2 linked regions of the Danio rerio genome follow. The protein of the gene in region 2 interacts with the protein of the main gene of each other region in a pairwise test. Links are inferred from orthologs where the notes say so. Each region holds a gene or a part of one and is shown on either strand. Other genes may lie near its edges.

The links. The genes of interacting proteins can lie anywhere in the genome.
Region 1: the proteins of tfip11 (region 2) and cfap206 interact in binary tests that used the Homo sapiens proteins (3 or more experiments, as listed by UniProt). The two-hybrid records come from large-scale screens. The link is inferred for Danio rerio from reciprocal best matches to the Homo sapiens genes TFIP11 and CFAP206.

What each region holds. Positions count from the first base shown.
Region 1 is NC_133195.1:2,739,532-2,750,011, reverse strand, and holds part of cfap206 (cilia- and flagella-associated protein 206), read left to right. Parts: intron 1-3,036; coding exon 3,037-3,156; intron 3,157-3,236; exon of another isoform or gene 3,237-3,443; intron 3,444-4,865; exon of another isoform or gene 4,866-5,406; intron 5,407-6,346; coding exon 6,347-6,527; intron 6,528-7,127; coding exon 7,128-7,268; intron 7,269-9,035; coding exon 9,036-9,262; intron 9,263-9,484; coding exon of another isoform or gene 9,485-9,499; coding exon 9,500-9,628; exon of another isoform or gene 9,629-9,931; intron 9,932-10,033; exon of another isoform or gene 10,034-10,078; intron 10,079-10,480. UniProt on the Homo sapiens protein: Essential for sperm motility and is involved in the regulation of the beating frequency of motile cilia on the epithelial cells of the respiratory tract. Required for the establishment of radial spokes in sperm flagella.
Region 2 is NC_133198.1:20,761,785-20,772,814, forward strand, and holds the start of tfip11 (tuftelin-interacting protein 11), read right to left. Parts: upstream 5,292-11,030; 5' UTR 5,239-5,291; exon of another isoform or gene 5,146-5,238; intron 2,413-5,145; 5' UTR 2,286-2,412; intron 1-2,285. Other genes in the region: naca (nascent polypeptide-associated complex subunit alpha), read left to right, coding at 9,335-11,030. UniProt on the Homo sapiens protein: Involved in pre-mRNA splicing, specifically in spliceosome disassembly during late-stage splicing events. Intron turnover seems to proceed through reactions in two lariat-intron associated complexes termed Intron Large (IL) and Intron Small (IS).

The sequences.
Region 1 (10,480 bases), on a different chromosome or scaffold from region 2:
ATGGACGACGCGACAGCCCCTTTTCCCATTAAACGCCTTGAGGGCAAAACACCTGCTTTACGGGCACAAACTGTCTCAAAAGACTGCTGAAATTGGAGCCTTGACATGCGCAGAAGGACTGTCTGATGGAGCCAGAGGAGGAGCCGCGAAAATGAGTCGAGCTTCCAACCAAACGCTTTATGTAAAATCAACCACGCCCCCCGAACTTCTCAGCATGCGTTTGCTGTCATATCAACACAAATGGATGTAATAACGTTAACAAATATGAGTTTTTTTTTATATTCAATCGCGCCAGCTCCGGGCCGCAGCGCTTAACCTACTCGCGGCGTCGCGGGCTGATTCCGCCTCGCATGCGGCAGCGCCGGCTCGCTCGGCCGCCGCATCTGGCTCGATTGACTCGGGCTGGAATCGGGCAGTGAGTCCAGGCATCCGGAGTAGGTCCAGCAGAGGTAGTCAGTCTGAGCTCTGAGGGGTAAGTCTCCGGCAGGCGAGAATCTAGCCGAACTGGTCCGAGTGTATTTTGTCATCTGGGTGGTTAGGCGTGTATCAGCAAACTAATAAAGCCCGAAAAAAGCTCTGACCTTAGCGAATAAACAGTGTTCCACCAGGATCATGTATGTCAGAAACTGTAGTTTACTGCTGAACTCATCTTATCATGGTAAAATAACACAGAAATCGAATAAAAACACTTCAGTCTCCTGCCGAAGCTCAGACGCGCTGCTTTGAGAAACTGTCAATCACCGCTGTCAATCACGATGACACGCCCAGCATTAAATTACTGCTAAAAACAAACTGTTTACAAAAATGAAGATCTGCACCTATTTCAGCACAATAACCAGCGCCTTAATCCACCAGAACCATCTTTCGGGACATTTTATTGCAAGTGTAATAATTTTTTTTACTTGGGCTCAAGTCTCCTTCATTAACACGGAGGAGGCGGGCTTTATGACTTGTACTGCAGCCAGCCCCAAGGGGGCGATCTAACGGCCGAGACCTTCACTCAAACGTAGGCTTGCGGCACACTTGATCTTACAGTTTTTCTTGATTGATTTGATGCAGCCGTCAACTGAAACTCCACATTTTCAAAACAGTTAACACACACTGGCCTAAACAGCGGCACTCTTGGTCAAAATGACACAATTTGCTTGCAAAATGCACATACCGTGTCAAAACATTTAACATATACAACAAAAGCTAGTTTTACCTTCAAACAACACAACTTGCAAACAAGTATATGAACTCTTTCAATTAATCATTACACAATAGACAACAAAATACAGAACTCAGTGTGAATCAGTGCACTGTTGCTTGACATTGTAGCCTATTGCCAATGCCATTTGTTGTCTTTCTATTTGGGCTGTCAAATTTGCCTTTTTGCAAAGAGAATTGGATCCAGAATAAGAAATACTTTGATTAAATTTATATTGAATTCATGACATTTTTCAAACTGTGGCTGAAAAATGCAATACTGTAAAAAAATGCACACATGTAAACCAATATACAGTGAAATCTTTTGGGAATATGGCACATAGCCACTATTGACCTTCTCCATCCATGCTGTCACAGAACAACACAGACCTTCCACCATTTTCAATGTTTGCAGACTGATTGCTAAATGAAGATTTGTGTGAAGGAGTGTCAAACCGGTGCTTCAGTGGATTCATACTGATCTTGGTGGTTTCTAATGGTTAGGAATAGATGGTTTCTGTTTGGTTATCATAGCTAAAACAATGGAGTTTGGACTGCTTGAATGACATCCGTGTTAACGCTTTTGAAAAATGGTGGGGAAAATGTGTCAACCCAATGAGAAAGGGTTTACACATTTGCAAGACCTGTCTTCTGCTCTGCTGTGATAGTGATAATGAAAATGAAGTGGAACCTAGTTTCTTTAACCAGGTCAAAGCAAACAAGAAAAACTGTAATTTTAAAATGCCATTTTAAAACGAAAACAATCCACATCCACACTGGCGTTTCATTTAGTATTTTTGAACAAGCCTCCGTCCACACGATACCGATGAAAATGCACACCACATGACCACACACACGTACACTTTGTCATGTGCTCCAGCGTCTGAGCTCCAGCAGTCCAGTAGAGTGCTGAGTACGCCCTAAAGCCGAAAGGAAAATGAATGATTGAATGAATGAATGTAAGGGCGTACTCACACTATGTACAGTTGCCTTGAACCAGGACAAAGCACGCTTGTCCCCACCTCTCGTCTCCCCTAACAGCCCGCACTCACATTACATTCGGGCCTGGGCACGTCATTGATGCTGCGCTGTCCAGTAAGCGCTCTCGCTCAGCACAGTGGAGATTTCTTCAGTCATATCGCTTTAGTGGTTTGATATGCAGTGACATGCAGTCAAATATTTCGCTGAACAGATCAGCCACTTTTGACGCTCATAAACAATCATAAAGTCCTCGAGCTGCAAGAATTAGGAGGTTTGCTGAAGGTGCAGCTGTGGTGCAGTGAGTGGTTTGCGTCTTTAATAATCTACGACAGTTTGTGATTATTGAACGGTAAGAATGATTAATAAATCCATATCAAACAGTCCCTTAAAAGTCACGTCTCGCTTTCAGTTTCGGGCTCAGGCACGTTTTGCAATCTCACACAATTGTATGGTACTCAAGCCCACCTCTTCGAACCGGGCCAGGGCTGGCCAAGTGAACCGTGCCTGACCCTGATTCAGAGCACTCACACTTCTCAAACGATCCAGGAAACGGGCCTGGGCATGATTCAGATAGCATGGTGTGAGTAGGCGCTCAGTGATCTGGAAAGGCTGATGTCTAACACATAGACACACATACTTCAAGAGGAGCGAGAATAGACAGATATTGTGTAGAATATACTGACCCTAACAAATGTTTTTCATCATGCATATTCATATTCAGCAGAAGGGTTTTTATTTATTTGAGTCAAATACAGCATGTAATTGTGAATGAGCACTAATGTTGAGTTTTCAGACAACAGGGGGTGTAACGAATGAGTGTTTAATTATGTAAACAGTGTAATAATGTGGTGTTGATGTTTCCATCAGGCGGACGTCATCCTGTGTGCACAGGAAGTGACACGTTTACAGTCGGATCTGATGAGTCGAATGACACTCCTGAGAGACGCCATTCACACCAAAACTACAGTGCCAACAACACACGTGTTTGTGAGTCCCTCATATACTGCATTTTACACTGTTTCACCATAGTAACTGATATTAAAGTGTATTGCGGTCTTTCACTACAGAAAAACCACAGTAAGAGCTGAGTGATATGACACAGTGCATAAATCTGCATTAAAGTCTGTGTGAACCGAAAGATGCAGAGACGTTTATTGCAGAAACTGAATATTGAGACTGATGTCTAACACATGCACAGACACGGACACTCCAAGAGGAATGAGAATACACAGATATTGTTTTATAGCTGTTTGTGTGTGTGTGTGTGTGTGTGTGTGTGTGTGTGTGTGTGTGTGAGCTGATTAGTAATGTTAGTGTGTGTGTGTGTGTGTGTGTGCTGTTAGTGTGTGTGCGCTGATTAGTAATGTTAGTGTGTTTTTGTGAGCGCGGTTTAGTGTTGTTAGTGTGTGTGCGCTGATTAGTAATGTTAGTGTGTGTGTGTGAGCTGATTAGTAATGTTAGTGTGTTGTTAGTGTGTGTTGTGTGTGCAGTTTAGTGTTGTTAGTGTGTGTGTGTGTGTATATTGTGTGTGTGCGCTGATTAGTATAGTGTGTGTGTGTGTGTGCTGTATAGTGTTGTTAGTGTGTGTGTGCTGTTAGTGTGTGTGCGCTGATTAGTAATGTTAGTGTGTTGTTAGTGTGTGTTGTGTGTGTGCAGTTTAGTGTTGTTAGTGTGTGTGTGTGTGTATATATTGTGTGTGTGCGCTGATTAGTAATGTTAGTGTGTGTGTGCTGTATAGTGTTGTTAGTGTGTGTGTGCTGTTAGTGTGTGTGCGCTGATTAGTAATGTTAGTGTGTGTGTGAGCGCGGTTTAGTGTTGTTAGTGTGTGCTGTGTGTGCGCTGATTAGTAATGTTAGTGTGTGTGTGTGCTATTTAGTGTTGTTAGTGTGTGCGCTGATTAGTAATGTCAGTGTGTGTGCGGTTAGTGTGTGTGTGAGCGCGGTTTAGTGCAGTTTAGTGTTGTTAGTGTGTTTGTGTGTGTGTGTGTGTGCGCTGATTAGTAATGTTAGTGTGTGTGTGTGTGTGTGTGCGGTTTAGTGTTGTTAGTGTGTGTGAGCTGATTAGTAATGTTAGTGTGTGTGCGCTATTTAGTGTTGTTAGTGCGTGCGCTGATTAGTAATGTCAGTGTGTGTGCGGTTAGTGTGTGTGTGAGCGCGTTTAGTGTTGTTAGTGTGTGTGTGTGCGCTGATTAGTAATGTTAGTGTGTGTGTGTGTGTGTGTGTGTGTGTGCAGTTTAGTGTTGTTAGTGTGTGTGTGTGCGCTGATTAGTAATGTTAGTGTGTGTGTGCAGTTTAGTGTTGTTAGTGTGTGTGCGCTGATTAGTAATGTTAGTGTGTGTGTGTGTACAGTTTAGTGTTGTTAGTGTGTGTGCGCTGATTAGTAATGTTAGTGTGTATGCGCTGATTAGTAATGTTATTGTGTGTCTGCTGTTTAGTGTTGTTAGTGTGTGTGCGCTGATTAGTAATGTTAGTGTGTGTGTGTGTGTACAGTTTAGTGTTGTTAGTGTGTGTGCGCTGATTAGTAATGTTAGTGTGTGTGTGTGTGTACAGTTTAGTGTTGTTAGTGTGTGTGCGCTGATTAGTAATGTTAGTGTGTATGCGCTGATTAGTAATGTTATTGTGTGTGTGTGTGTACAGTTTAGTGTTGTTAGTGTGTGTGCGCTGATTAGTAATGTTAGTGTGTGTGTGTGTGTACAGTTTAGTGTTGTTAGTGTGTGTGCGCTGATTAGTAATGTTAGTGTGTGTGTGTGTGTACAGTTTAGTGTTGTTAGTGTGTGTGCGCTGATTAGTAATGTTAGTGTGTGTGTGTGTGTACAGTTTAGTGTTGTTAGTGTGTGTGCGCTGATTAGTAATGTTAGTGTGTATGCGCTGATTAGTAATGTTATTGTGTGTCTGCTGTTTAGTGTTGTTAGTGTGTGTGCGCTGATTAGTAATGTTAGTGTGTGTGTGTGTGTACAGTTTAGTGTTGTTAGTGTGTGTGCGCTGATTAGTAATGTTAGTGTGTGTGTGTGTGTGTACAGTTTAGTGTTGTTAGTGTGTGTGCGCTGATTAGTAATGTTAGTGTGTATGCGCTGATTAGTAATGTTATTGTGTGTCTGCTGTTTAGTGTTGTTAGTGTGTGTGCGCTGATTAGTAATGTTAGTGTGTGTGTGTGTACAGTTTAGTGTTGTTAGTGTGTGTGCGCTGATTAGTAATGTTAGTGTGTGTGTGTGTGTACAGTTTAGTGTTGTTAGTGTGTGTGCGCTGATTAGTAATGTTAGTGTGTATGCGCTGATTAGTAATGTTATTGTGTGTCTGCTGTTTAGTGTTGTTAGTGTGTTCGCTGATTAGTAATGTTAGTGTGTGTGTGTGCAGTTTAGTGTTGTTAGTGTGTGCGCGCTGATTAGTAATGTTAGTGTGTGTGTGTGTGTGTGTGTGTGTGTGTGTGTGCAGTTTAGTGTTGTTAGTGTGTGGGCGCTGATTAGTAATGTTAGTGTGTGTGTGTGTGCAGTTTAGTGTTGTTAGTGTGTGTGCGCTGATTAGTAATGTTAGTGTGTGTGTGTGTGTGTGTGTGTGTGTGTGTGTGTGTGTGCAGTTTAGTGTTGTTAGTGTGTGGGCGCTGATTAGTAATGTTAGTGTGTGTGTGCGCTATTTAGTGTTGTTAGTGTGTGTGCGCTGATTAGTAATGTCAGTGTGTGTGCGGTTAGTGTGTGTGAGTGCGGTTTAGGGCAGTTTAGTGTGTGTGTGTGTGTGTGTGTGTGTGTGCAGTTTAGTGTTGTGTGTCTGCTGTTTAGTGTTGTTAGTGTGTTCGCTGATTAGTAATGTTAGTGTGTGTGTGCAGTTTAGTGTTGTTAGTGTGTGTGCGCTGATTAGTAATGTTAGTGTGTGTGTGTGTGTGTGTGTGCAGTTTAGTGTTGTTAGTGTGTGGGCGCTGATTAGTAATGTTAGTGTGTGTGTGTGCGCTATTTAGTGTTGTTAGTGTGTGTGCGCTGATTAGTAATGTCAGTGTGTGTGCGGTTAGTGTGTGTGAGCGCGGTTTAGGGCAGTTTAGTGTGTGTGTGTGTGTGTGTGTGCAGTTTAGTGTTGTTAGTGTGTGTGCGCTGATTAGTAATGTTAGTGTGCGTGTGTGGTGGTTAGTTAGTGTTTGTTTTGTAGTGGCGTCATGGTAACTAGTTTCTGTGTGTTCCTCTCCTCTTCAGCCTCATTTCAGTGCAGTGGGCCGGCTGTGGGCGGGGCTAGAGCAGGAGATGCTGCTACTGAGCATGCTCACTAATGTGGCGTCTGGACTGAGAGTCTTCCTGACAGCAGAGTCTCTGCTGACCCCAGATCAGATGGAGCTCCCGGTGCGCACTGATGCTGACAGATGCTCTGGGACAGCAGGTCACACACACACACACACACACACACACACAAACACACGCACACGTGTTAATATGTCACTCAGATCTGCTGGTTTCACTCAACTCTTCATCGACACGACTCCAGATTAAGGGTTTCTGGAGCATCATGGGGTTATAAAAGCTCTTTTCCAGACACTGAAAGTCAGAGATGTTTATATCTTTAATAATTAGTTATTCTGAAGTTCATATTTTTAATATTTAGTTATATTTCGTTTATATTTCTGTCAAAGTTCTGAAATATTAGGGATATTGACTGTAGATTTAGATGTAGTTTTCTAGGGTGTGTGTGAAGCCGACAGGAGCAGCATCTCTCTGTTAGCATCTGACTCTGCTATTCAATCATGTTTGAACTACAGATTTGAGTAAATTAATTGTTATTCATTGTTTCAATCTTATGTTGAAGGCTGATATATTGCTGCAGTGCATTCTGGGAGCCGTGCATGAGTTTTGTAGGATTCTCCCAGCATGCACTGCAGCATGAAGAATATCATCGTTGTTGAGATTCATACTCTGATTCCTGATGTCTTTGTGTGTGAAGAGATTCCTAATGTTGTGTGTGTGTGTGTGTGTGTGTGTTCAGAGGAGCGTGTGCTGGTGTCAGAGACGAGCTCGTGTGAATGCTGTTTTCCTGAAAGCACTGCAGACTTCCAGCATCTGCCGCTGCAGTATAACGGCTTCTGCGGAGTCGCTCTGGTGGACAGAAATGGCCTTTTACTGCCAGGTACAAACAGGAAACAGTAGCTGAGATTTTATCACTGCAAAAACAAAGTGTATGATTGATTATTGCTGTTGTTGTGGAATATTGCACTGTTCATAATAAATTATTATGGCGGCTTGAGAAAGCAGCATACTGTTCTAAACTTCTTATTCTTCCGTCGTCTTCTTCAGAGATTAACTTCTAAATGCATCTCCTCCTAGACTGTTCAAACTACAACCACCAAACTAACACCAAACCTCCAAACTATACTGAATTAAGTTGCCATATCTTTTCCAACTGATCCGACTTAGGCTTTTCTGAAAACTGACCTGGAATATTCAGAAAAGTCCCATTGACTTAACATTGGACTAAAATTTGTGATTCTCATAACTTTGCGCCAGACTGTCATACAGACTTAAGGTTGGGCTCATTTATCTCAGACTACCAATCTGCCAATCACTGATGACCTTTCAACTTTTTAGCCACACCTAGCAACCACTTACGGCACCCTAGCAACTGTCCCATAGCCTTCCATTGTTACAACTGCCATTGACTTTACATTGGACATACTGACAACATACCAATCCATACTAACGGACATACTGATCATACTAGTTACATGCTAATTCATACTATACAAATACTAGCAACATGCTAATTTATACTAAATGCATGCTTGCCACATGCTAGTTTATACTAGAAACATGCTAATAACATGCTAATTCATACTAGAACCATCCTAACAATGTGTTAATTTAAGCTTGAAAAATGCTAGCATAATGCTAATACTAGATACATAATACTAGAAACATGCTAATTTATGTTAGCAACCACTCAGAACACCTTAGCAAACGCCTAGCAACACCTTAGCAACCACCCAGCAATGCCGTAGTAACCACCTTGTAACACCTTAGCAACCACTCAGAACACCCTAGCAACCACCTAACATCACCTTAGCATCCACCTATGCCTTAGCAACCATCTAGACACCAGTAAAAACACCATAGCAACCACTTAGCAACCCCCTAGAAAGACCTGAGCAATCACCTAGCAACGCCTTAGCAACCACTAAGAAAACCCTAGCAATCACCTAGCAACACTTAAGGAAGTGCCTAGCACTCCTTAATAATCACCTAGAACATCTAGGCAACCACCTAGCAATGACCTAGCAACACCTTAGCAATAACCTAGAACACCTTAGCAACCACCTAGCAACACCTTAGCAACCATTCTGAACACTGTAGCAACCACCTAATAACACCTTAGTAACAACCTAGAACACCCTAGCAACCACCTAGCAACCAATCAGAACAGCTTAGCAACCACCTAGAACACCCTAGCAACCGTCTAGCAATGCCTTAGTAACCACTCAGAACACCCTAGGTACACCTTAGCAAGAAACATGACAACTCATACTAGAAACCTGAGAATGCAAGCTTCTTAAAAACTACTATAATGATTTAACTTTTAAAGCTACTTCAAACTTGTAGACGAGGCTTTCTCAAGCCACCATAAAGTTTGTCTATTAACTTTTATAATATTTTGTTTATTGTAAATTAACATCTCTCCAATGACATCTGTTTTCTGATTGGTGTTTACTGTTATGAGGGTGGAGTCAACCTGTCACTCAAATGAGATCCACCAATAGCAGAATACAACTGTCCAATCAGTTCCCTGTGCACAAAATCAAGCCCCGCCCACATTTGTTCGTCATCCTGAAGTGAGATTGTCACAATAGAGGAGAAAAGATAAGAAACAAATGCTAACGTGCGCATGCTCTCCTGTTCTCAGGTAACACAAGCATCGGCGTGCTGAAGCACAAGGAGAAATATTACGCGTTCAGCAGCAGGAGCGCAGCATACGAGTTCTCCTGTCGAGCAGATGAATACACAGCAGCGGTGCTGGAGACGGCCAGCAGAACACCTGAACTCATCCAGCTGCTGCAGCTGCAGCAGCACTTCACCAGCAGCACTGCATACTCTCAGCTGCCAGCGGGACACCAGAGTCTGACAGCAGGGGTGAGGAACAATACAGCTCTGAAGAGAAGATCCAGAGCCCTCAGAGAGGAGTTCTGAGACACACATGCTTTATTACTAAAGAGAACTAAAGTTCCTATGGGTGATAAACAGGCCATACACTAACGAAACAGAAAAGTGCAGTCAATCTTTCCTTATTTGCATTGTTGTTAGTTTGTGATATCTGATGTGTGTGTTGTAAGGTGTGTGTTGTTCGTTTCTCAGATGCCATCCGGACAGAAACTGCTGCTGAAAAGCATCTCTAAAAGTGACGCCGGTGTTCAGACGGAGATCCACCCTCTGCAGAGCAACATCTGCACCTCCTATGAGTGGAACGAGTGGGAGATGAGAAGAAAAGCCATTAAACTGGTGAGACACACTGATCTCAGACCAGCTAGATGAACACGCTGATCTCAGGTTAGCTAGAGGAACACACTGATCTCAGACCAGCAAGATAAACACTCTGATCTCAGGTCAGCTAAATAATCACACGGATCTTAGGTCAGCTAGAGGAATGCACTGATCTCAGGTTAGCTGGATGAACACTACACACACTGATCTCAGGTCAGGTAGATCAGTGGTTCTCAAAGTGTGGGTCGGGACCCCTTGAGGGGTCGCGGAACAATGAAGGGGGGGTTGCCTGGTGATTTCCAAAAATCTACTTATTATTAGGCCATAAGAATTACCATATTTTATCCATAACCAACTGAAGAGAAAAAACTATTTAAAAAACTATATAAAAAAAACTATATAAAACGTTCATAGTTACTATAGTAGCTTATTTACTTGTTCTATTGGATTGCGACCCCTGGGGTAAATGCATTATATTAAAGACAGCAATAGCGTCAGATGCAGCAGATTGATTTTATAACACCAGGTTAAACTTTCTGGCCCATTTACAGCACTGACATACATAAAAAAACAAAGAATAGACTTTGGTCTATTGGTGTGTGTGTGTGCGCCATTGCATGCAAGTTTTCTGTATTTATAACCACCTCAGAGGATATTGGGGGTCGCGAGTCACTGGCATTGTTATTTTAGGGGTCGCGTGCTGAAAAGTTTGGGAACCCCTGAGGTAGATGACCAATAGACAAACTGATCTCAGGTCAGCTAAATGAACGTCGTCTATTTATGTAACTCCCATTCCCCAAATGAGGGAACAGAGACATTTATGTCAGGTTGATCGACTGGGGGATTTGCTTAGGACCAATCACTCCGATT
Region 2 (11,030 bases):
AAACAGTAATGTTGGATACATAAGCACAAACATCCGTAAACAGAGTGTTCGGTCCGTGTATCATCCGTTCATTTGATTATTCCTTTTATTACGGAAAACGAAACATCAGAAAAACGATGAATATTTCGTTTTTCTGTTTATTCTGTAGGCAGAAAAAACGGAAACTCATCTGTTATTCTGCTTATTAACTTAAAACGAAATATTAAAACAAACACAAAACCAAAACGAAATAATGAGTCAAAAAATGGTCCGTGTACGGTCCGTGTACATTTTGTTCATTTTTTTTCCAGTTTCAAACGGAATAAAGGAAATGGAGAAAACTGCCGTTTTTCCGTTTTTCTTTTGCTCACGAGAAAACGAAAAAACAAGATTTTGGCTGGATTTTCGTTTTTTGGTTTAGGGTAGGAAAACGGATAAACGACTTTAAAATTCATTTTACACATGTAGGCGGTGCTGAAACGCCCACTTTCCTCTAATTGGTCAACCAAATCTGCGCTCGTGACGTCACCCTCAAAATAAAAGCCTTACACGCAGGCTTTTAATTATTATTATTTAATTATATATATATTAACTAAGTTTACAGATTCTATCATTTGAACCACACACATTTAGCAGGCTTACATTCATTGCGTATGTATAAATTAAATAAAAACGTAAATCAGCAGTATTCTTAGACATTTGTCATTAAAATAAGGTCATAGTTCACTGCCAAGCTTCTTGCTGCTGTGCACCTGATGCAGAGCAAAGATAGCCATTTCCGAGCAGCACCTGGTTTGCATGATTGTTTCAGAGCAAGGGCTTTATAATAATAATAATAATAATAATAATAATAATAATAATAATTATTATTATTATTATTATTATTATTATTATTATTATCAGTTACTAGTGTTTTTATTGTTTGGTGTGTTTTTTTTCTTTTTAATAGTTGTTAGCAGAACCCGAATAAGAACACTTTGGGCCCTGCTATAAAAACAAAGGGTACCATTTGTTTTCATTTATTTCTTCCTATTTTAATTATATATTGTAATTATTTATTTGATAATTAATACTATTTTATTGCAACGCCAAAGTAGGCCTGTCTTATTATTATTTTTTTTAATTAAATTTGCTGTTATTGTAGGCTAGATGGCAGGCTTTAAATATTTTAAATAACATTTACTCATAACCTTACTAATTCGAGAGCCGAACCTAAAAAAGTTTAAGTGCAATAAGCCTGTACAATAAAGGGAGCCGCAATGCATATTTCTAGCGCATTCTTTCACTCAACAATTATTGCTGGAATAATGACATAAATTTCAAATTAACTAATTAAACACATTATAGTTGATAAAAAAATTGTGTCTAGTAGTTCCGACAAACAGATGAGCTCGCTACATGTGCGTTGCGCTAATAATTTGACATTTGCTCTTCTTGAGAAAGTGCTACAGCGGGCCCTGCTATTTCACATATAAGGTTAGTGATACGTATTTTAAATTAGTATTGCACATTATTCATTCATTTTCTTGTCGGCTTAGTCCCTTTATTAATCTGGGGTCGCCACAGCGGAATGAACCGCCAACTTATTTAGCAAGTTTTTATGCAGCGGATGCCCTTCCAGCCACAACCCATCTCTGGGAAACATCCACACATACACACACACTTATACAGTACGGACAATTTAGCCTACCCAATTCACCTGTACCGCATGTCTTTTTACTGTGGGGAAAACCGGAGCACCCGGAGGAAACCCACGCGAACGCACTACACTACTGAATTAGACACACAATCTCAAAAAAAAACTTGATGCTTATTTACATTATCTAAAGTCATTTCTTACGAGGTAGGATCTGTTGTTGTATTATATATTTTCGTTTTAATATGCAAATAATTTTCTTTAATTTGTAATAGGTCCCTCATTGCATAAAATAACCAGCCTTTGTATTCAATATGTTTGTAAATTGTCCATCCAGTTTGACGCAAGCTAAACAACATTTTGGCCTGTTTTGCTTATTAAATGAGTGATTTTCACGGAGAAACAAATCATCCATCCACACAGTTTTGTATAGGACCTGTGTGAACAAAAATATACACTTCATTATAGCCTATAGGAAAATGTATCTGTTTAGAACCAATTTTGTGTTGTATAATTAAAAATATTAAAAATACAATAATAAAAAAAAGGAATAACATTTGAAGTGCAATGCTTCAAAGATCCAATACGCTGCATGCAGAGCCAAAACAAAAACTGGTTTGTTTGTTTAATAAAATAATAATATGAAATTAAAGTGAAATAGTTCCATAACCTGTATTATAACTGTAGTCACTCTAGATGACAAATCATCCGTTGCGCCGGTCAGTTTCACCTTTAATCAAGAATGTGCCAGAACCAAATGAGAATATTTACAGATTACCTCGGAATGAGATCTCGGTCTGTGAAGAATGCAGAACACAGAAACTCGTTGAGAATGGAGATGCATGTTAGATGTTTTATATCCCTTTAGATATTGTAAATAAACAACTAGTTTTTATAGAGATTGTGTCATGTCTTTTCTTTGACGCACGCGCTGAACAGCCTGTAGCCTAAATAATAGTTTAGATTTTATAACATATAATGTTTTATTACTTTAAATGTATAATGTTTTTTAATATTTATGGAATATATAAAATATATAGTTTATATAAATGCGCTCTGATCATTCAAGGATCATAATGCGTTGCATATTCTTCTTATTCTTCATTAGGCTTGATCCGTAAATTGTGTATTTTATAAACTGATCGTTTATAAGGATTAAGCTATTAATAACTGTAATTCCTCGAATGGAAAAGTCTTGATTAAAGAAAAAGAGAACTTAATTCGACATATGCATATAGTGCGCTTATTTCTGCGCGCATCGCGCGCTTTACCGAATTACCTTTTTTATTTTTATGCACTATAAATGCATCTGGCAGCACCGAAAAGAGCAAATGCCAAGTTATTAGCGCAGCGCACAGACAGCTAGCTCGTCTAGTCTGAACCAGGGGTTTTCAAACTATTCATTGCACACCGATCCCATTGCATTTTATTTAGGATAAACCACTTATTTAAAATTAATTAATTAAAAGGTGCGTACTCTCCAATACACCACTGTAGTGTCATAATATTTAATAATTATAATTAAGATAGACACCTGACCTCCATTTAATAAACAATTTATTTGCCATACTCTGTTAATTTGAAGTTTAAAGTTTAAATCATTTATGTTAAACTTAAATTATTTAAAAACTTAAAAAGACTTACATTTAGTCATTTAAGACATTTTAGGTCATAAGTTTACATACATTGACCGTTGCATTTAGTAGGCCTATTCTGGTCTAAATAAGCTTTTTGCATCTTAGGTGTTTACACACACAAATTAAGCAGTTTATACGTACATTTAATGTTACTTTGAAATTACTTTTGATGCAATAAATAATCCTAAATAGTTGAAAGTGTTAACATATTCTTGAAATGTAGTTATTTTATAACTATGAAATTTATTACTAAACAAAGTGAATCATTATGAATTTGCCAAGAAATAATCCACTTTACCACCGTAAAGCAATGCCCCACACTCACTAGAACGGTAGAACCTGGACTGTATGATATGTTCTGTATGTAAAATAGAGAAAATAAGCAAGATGCGCAGTCTCATGTAGCCTTAGTGAAATATAGCGCGTCACAGCAATGAACTAAAAATAAAACCACCCTTGAAATGCTGGCGATCTTAATTTTTTCAGCCTACACTGACTGAGAATAATGTTGCACTATTTAATTAACAAATAATTAGAATGTTTTTTTTTTCCTTCAACACATTCATCATTACTTTTGCCTGTGCAAGTTTTTTTGCGCGTGCTTGAGTGCGAAGGCATCTATTTTCAGGTGCAAGATGCCACTTTGGGTGGCACCAGCACACTCTGCCACACCTGTGGCTATGTCCCTGCTACAATAATAATAACAACAACAACGACAAAATAATAACAAAAAATAATAATAATAAGACAGGCCTACTTTGACGTTGCAATAAAAAAGTATTAATTATCAAATAAATATTTACAATAGGCTAAAGGCACATATTAAATTAAAATAGGAGAAAATCCAATAGAAACAGGTACCATTTATTATAGCCCCATGCAGGGTCCATTGTGTTCTTACAACCATTAAATAACTAAGTAAATAATAATAATAACAATACTGCTAATAATAGGCCTAATAATAATAATAATAATAATAATAATAATAATAATAATAATAATAAATTATTATTTTATACAGAGTAGGCTATTATTTAGGCCTACAATAGCTCTGAAACAATCATGTAAACCAGGTGCTGCTCGGAAATGGCTATCTTTGCTCTGCATCAGGTGCACAGCAGCAAGAAGCTTGGCAGTGAACTATGACCTTATTTTAATGACAAATGTCTAAGAATACTGCTGATTTACGTTTTTATTTAATTTATACATACGCAATGAATGTAAGCCTGCTAAATGTGTGTGGTTCAAATGATAGAATCTGTAAACTTAGTTAATATATATATAATTAAATAATAATAATTAAAAGCCTGCGTGTAAGGCTTTTATTTTGAGGGTGACGTCACGAGCGCAGATTTGGTTGACCAATTAGAGGAAAGTGGGCGTTTCAGCACCGCCTACATGTGTAAAATGAATTTTAAAGTCGTTTATCCGTTTTCCTACCCTAAACCAAAAAACGAAAATCCAGCCAAAATCTTGTTTTTTCGTTTTCTCGTGAGCAAAAGAAAAACGGAAAAACGGCAGTTTTCTCCATTTCCTTTATTCCGTTTGAAACTGGAAAAAAAATGAACAAAATGTACACGGACCATTTTTTGACTCATTATTTCGTTTTGGTTTTGTGTTTGTTTTAATATTTCGTTTTAAGTTAATAAGCAGAATAACAGATGAGTTTCCGTTTTTTCTGCCTACAGAATAAACAGAAAAACGAAATATTCATCGTTTTTCTGATGTTTCGTTTTCCGTAATAAAAGGAATAATCAAATGAACGGATGATACACGGACCCTGTTCTCGGATGACAAAAACTGATTAGTAACTTAGAGTGCGTGAAGCAAACGTTTCCCAGAAAAATCATGTTAGCTTAGCAATGCCACTCTGTTGTAAACAAAGACACATACCTTCCCTTAAATCAGGTATTGTCAATATTCCGTCATGGTCAACTCTGAAATAAACTATTGTGTTTAAAAATAACAGTGTGTAGACAGAATTACCTGAAAATGTGGTTTCTTGTTATAGACTTCAGCTTATCCGACAGTGACTTCCTGTTGGGACCGGAAGCAGAGCAGTGACATCAGAGTGACGCAGAGGTCAGAAACCCTCTCTCACAGCCATCTTGGATCCTGTGCCCTGAACTAGTGAGTACTCCTGCGTAAAATCTATTGTCATCCAACGTTGCTTTAGCCAATTCAATACATAATTTGTAGCTTATGCTGATGCTTTAGTGTAGCTGTGTTTGGAATGGTAAAGATTTGTAAATTTGCTTGGCTTATTGAGGAAATATGTTGATGATTACAACTGGCTGACTGTTCAAAATGGGGGAGCGAGACGCACCACCGCTCGCTATACTTCAGCCGTGGGCTTTGTGTCTAACGAAAATGTTAACCCTGCAAAAAGTTGCACTATATACAACTATAGCGATATATTGTGAGAAATCTGTAATTTAATCGTACGAAAGGTTGTTGCGTGACGTGCGACAATAAACACTGGCTGGATAGTTAACTTCGCTGCCTAAACATGTAACGTTTCTAAAAACGCATGCTGTGTCAACAGTATAACCTAACGTTACATTATAAAGGATTATAAACTCATTTCTTTAAAAAAGTTTTATTGTAATTTGTGTAATGAGGTTCTTTCATTCAGCAGTAACGTGTCAGAGCTCCTCTGTTAAGATACACACGTGAAATGTGCAACACAGTGCACGCGCACACATGAACAGTGTGTGGAACTGTTTGGGGACGTTATAAGCCTTATTTGTTCAGTTTGCCTGTTTGCAATTGATAAAGCTCACAAATTCTGTTCGGTGGCCTTGTGAAATGTTATCATGTAGCTCAATACTTTGAGACAACAGCAGTGTTTAACTGAGCCGGTAGTGGGACAGCTGACAGCCAGCAGAGGCCTACAGGAAGAGGCCTAGAGTGCTGCTGTTTCAATAGAAAAAGCCTCATTAACACAAAGCACTGACTAACGCATGTCTAAACCTTCATGCAGACTTTGTAAAGCTTATAATGTATTGTTTCTCATTTCTGTTTTAGTCCAGAATGCCAGGCGAAGCCACAGAAACTGTCCCTGTTACAGAGCAGGAGATGCAGCAGCCCCAGGCTGAGACGGGTTAGTACTGCTTTTAAAAGTGCATGTCTGATACTAAACACTGGTTGTCTAGGTGGTCCTGGAAATATTGTTTATTGTACTGGTTATTATCAAAATGTTGCTTATTCTATTCAGGGTGTTTTTGCACCTGTTTTAGCCTTTCTTCAGGTTTCTTTTAGGGTCTTCTCGCAGCTGTTGTAGAGATTTCGCATAACAAGTTTCTCTAGTCAGAGTGGTGTAGGGTGGGGATACAGTTGAGTCAGTTTTTCTCCTCCTAGAGGTTTTAGGTTAATGTGCTTGAGCTACTCCCTGAATAAAAAAACACAAATTACTAGTCCGTTTAAAGGCAGGGCTCTGTACTAACTTTTGAGAGCAGTGCCGCCAAGTTCTACAAATGAAGGCTTTAGTATCACGGGTTCAAAATATAATAGGATTGCATTTTTTGTCTCAGAAATGTAGTTAACTGTAGATTGAGGTAAACAGTATACATGCATGTTAAATGACAAATTCATGAAAACCCACAGGATTTAGCCACTCTGCTATGATAAAACAAGCTAATTTAAAAATATTTTGTTTCTGTGGTATATGTAAAAAAATATATATATATTTGTTTATAGACTTAAACTAATTAAAATTATGTGCACAATAACATTGTTTATATGAAAACTTGAAATATGACAAAAAGTTACTTGGATTCTTATTAAACTTGCAATAAAAACACACTGGTATAAATGCACAAACATTAGCCTGTGCTTTTAATCTTTTAATACTTTAATATAAATGTACATTAAATATAATGTATAATATATTGTATAATACTATACAATTCTGTATGTGTATGCCATTTTCTGCCAAAAATATAACATTAAGTTAATACCGTTACATTTGAGTTATAAGTAAATACATGGATGATTTACTTGTTTCACAGTGTTTCTCCTGTTTCACTTGTCTTTGCTTTTGACAGTATAACCTGAGCCTGAAGCCCTGTTTTTAAAGGGTTGCTTGGACTATATTCATGTAATAAAAAAAAAACTGGCCATCAATTTTCATTATAGGGCAATTCTGCTGTATGTTATCGATTTAATTGTTTTTCAAAGTTTATTTTGTTTCAGAAAATAGTCACATTAGTTTAAAAGATCATTTAACTCCATTGACCTTTTATTTGAATGAAAATGCTACATCACAAGGAAATGGAAGATCATTTTGTTTTTTAAGTAATCCAGGACCACCTTGGTCAACAGTTGGTTTCTCTGTACAGTAAATCGAAGTCTAACGGTTTGTGTGAATGGAGTATGGACATTGCAACCCAGCATGATTTTCCTAACTTTGCACTGATTTTAGTAATCATGACTCAAACAGTTGTTACTCCTAGGATATTGTGTTAGGTTAGAAAGTGTACTGTTTGGTTCAGGGATTGTTCAAAAAATGCAATTGTTTTGGCAAGATCTTTCCTTTTTTTGTTTTAGGAACATGAACATATATTTCAGATTGTATACAAGGAACAACAGCTTTTGTCCAAAGTGTGGGGTGCAACAGGCATTTTACATTTGGAAGTTGATAGGTTTGTGAAGTCAACTTCTAAGTGTACAAACACTTTAGGATGCTACCATTTATGATAAGCTAAAGTTATGACTACAAGCCAGTGAAATTAACCATGAACTGGCATATGTGTTATAGTAAACAAACCATGTAGTTTAATATAATTGTTTTAGCTTACTAATTCAAGTGAAAATAGTTTGTACCCAGAAAGATAGTGTTTTTTTGTTTTGTTTCTTTGGTGCTTTGTTTTTAAGATGTATGCATTTGAACCTTTTTAGAACATGTACTGTATATATCAATATTAGTGTTTCCAAAAGAACCAGTACTTCAGTACCAAATGGCTTCTAAAGAAAAAAATTAACACTTCCATGTTTTCTTATATACTGGTACAGAGGGCCTAGTCCGGTACCATAAGTGAAAGCTGCTAATGCTGCTAACGAGACTGCCCTGAATCTACTTGTTGTTTAAAAAAGGAAAGCCACAATATCAACAATTAATATCTCTTTCATTCTGTACTCAAATGTGGAGCAATGAAACCCATAAACACTTGCCTATTGCTCCCAAACATGTCTTTTAGATGCAGATATAGCCTAAGCTAAATTTTAAATGTAGTCTAATAAACATATTGTAAACTTCCTTCAGCATGCACATTTGGCAGCATAAACCACAGAACATTTGTATTTATTTAGTTATCACATGCTAGCACTGTTGAAAGAGTAAGTTTGAAGTCAGAGTGAATTTTCTAGCATGTGCTCAGTTTTTTTTTTTTTTTTTTTTTTTTAAGTCATACTGTTTTGTTATGCGTGCTTCTATATACATAAAACAATCCCTTAAGTTTAAAATGATGACTTGTATAGCCAAAAATAACACCTAATAAGTATTTGTTTAAGCTTCATTTTGATGGTCTTTGATGGAACTGAAACATGCGTGAGTTTCTTTTAGTCTCATATTTTAGTTACGCTACACTGCTGAAATGCCCAGGCTATAATTTCCAGTTAATCCTTGGCTTGTTATAAGACCAGCGTATCTATATTACAGATTGTATTAATTCTAACTAATTGTATTATTGTACTATAACTACTATTTAGCCTTTTTCTAATTTAATTTCTTATATTGGGCCTATGATAAAGCACCTTCTGACTAATTAAATACCATAGATGTTGTTTCTCTTCATAAACAATTTTGATTTATTTTTGTTCATACTTTTTTGTTGCACTTAGTTGTAGAGAACTATATTTTCACTTATTTTGGTATCCACCCTAATTGGATTTCGATGTGATGATCATCTTTGCACTGTTTACTGACAATTGTGTAGATTTTTGCATGTGTAGTTGATTGGTGTTTTTAGTTTCTCAATTTTTCTAACAAGATTTGGTCTGTTTGATTTTGCTTTGGTAGCCAGTTGTGCATTTGAGGAGCATTTTAACACTTGTGCAACTAAAAGCATCCTTTGTAACCAGCATGGGTGTGATGGATTACACCATGCAACTTTTTAATTGCCAAAAAGTCACTCTAGCCCTTTTATTTCCATTAGCCACACCTGCTGCTGCAGCCCCTGCCCCCTCTCAGGCAAAGTCTAAAGATGGCAAAACTAACCCTAAACTGTCCTCATCTCCTCATACCACTGCTCCTAAGCCAGTTCCTGCAGGACGCAGGAAACGCTCTTCTCTGTCTGCTTCCTCAAGCTCTCCTACTTCTCCTAAATCTGCCTCCGGCCCTCGTGCTACCCCTCCATGCTCTCCTTTAGCCTCTCCTCCTGCTGACTCTCCTTTAGCTGGGAAAACTGAGCAAACTGCTCCCAAGGTGGTAAAGGCTGGCAAACAAGGGAAGCAACAAAAAGCAAAGAATTTTAAACCTGCCGAACAAGAGCAGGTGCCTTCCTCTACTTCCAAGCTTGCTCAAGAGTGTGCAGCTCTGCCAGTTCTTGCTATACCAGAGGTAGCAAAACCAGCAGGTACTGCAGATGCTATCCCTGTCTCTCCCAAAATTGCTGTGGCTCCTGTGGCATTTAAAGTAACTTCCAAAGCTGCTGCCCCAGCACCAAAATCGTTTACAGAAGCTGTTGCTTCTAGTCCACCCAAAGTGTCTGAAGCTGCAAAGGCACCAAGCACTGCTGTTTCAGAAACTAAAACTACTTCACCAAAAGCACCTACTAAGCCGGGCCCAGCCCAGCCAAATGCCCCAGCCACTGCTACTCTTCCAAAGCCTGCTCCTTTGGCAACATTTGAGGACGATGATCTGCCACCTCTCCTTCCACCTGAGAATCCTTTTACAGTGCCTGCTTTCCCCCCCTTGCCACCTACTACTATAACTGTTGAATCTGTCCCTAAAGCAAAAGCAGCTCCTAAAGCTAAGCCAGCTTCTAAAGTTGAACCTGTCCCCACCCCTAAAGGTGCCACCACTCCGGTAGAGAAAGTAGCAATAGCCTCTAAAATTGAGGCTGCACCAAAAGTTGAGCCCTTCCAAATCACTAAACCTCAGGCTCCCACTAAAAATGAGGCTGCTGCACCTAAAGTTAAGTCTGCTTCAGCTCCTAAACCTGAGCCCGTTCCTGCCCCTAAACCTGAGGTTCCAACTAAGAAAGAGGTTGCTGCTGCTGCACCTCAAGCTAAGGCTGCCCCAAGTCCAAAAGCGGAGCCTGTTTCTGCCCTTAAACCTGAGGCTCCTGCTAAGAAAGAGGCTGCTGCACCTAAAGCTAAGCCTGTCCCAGCTTCTAAAGCTGAGCCTGTTTCTGCCCCCAAACCTGAGGCTCCCGTTAAGATTGAGGCTGCTGCACCTAAAGCTAAGACTGCACCAGCTCCTAAAGCTGAGCCAGTTCCTGCCCCCAAACCTGAGGCTCCCGTTAAGATTGAGGCTGCTGCACCTAAAGCTAAGACTGCACCAGCTCCTAAAGCTGAGCCAGTTCCTGCCCCCAAACCTGAGGCTCCCGTTAAGATTGAGGCTGCTGCACCTAAAGCTAAGGCTGCACCTGCTCCTAAAGCTGAGCCGGTTCTTGCCCCCAAACCTGAAGCTCCCGTTAAGATTGAGGCTGCTGCACCTAAAGCTAAGGCTGCACCTGCTCCTAAAGCTGAGCCTGTTCCTGCCTCCAAACCTGAGGCTCCAGTTAAGAGCGAGTCTGCTGCACTCAAACCCAAGGCTGCTCCAGCTTCCAAAGCTG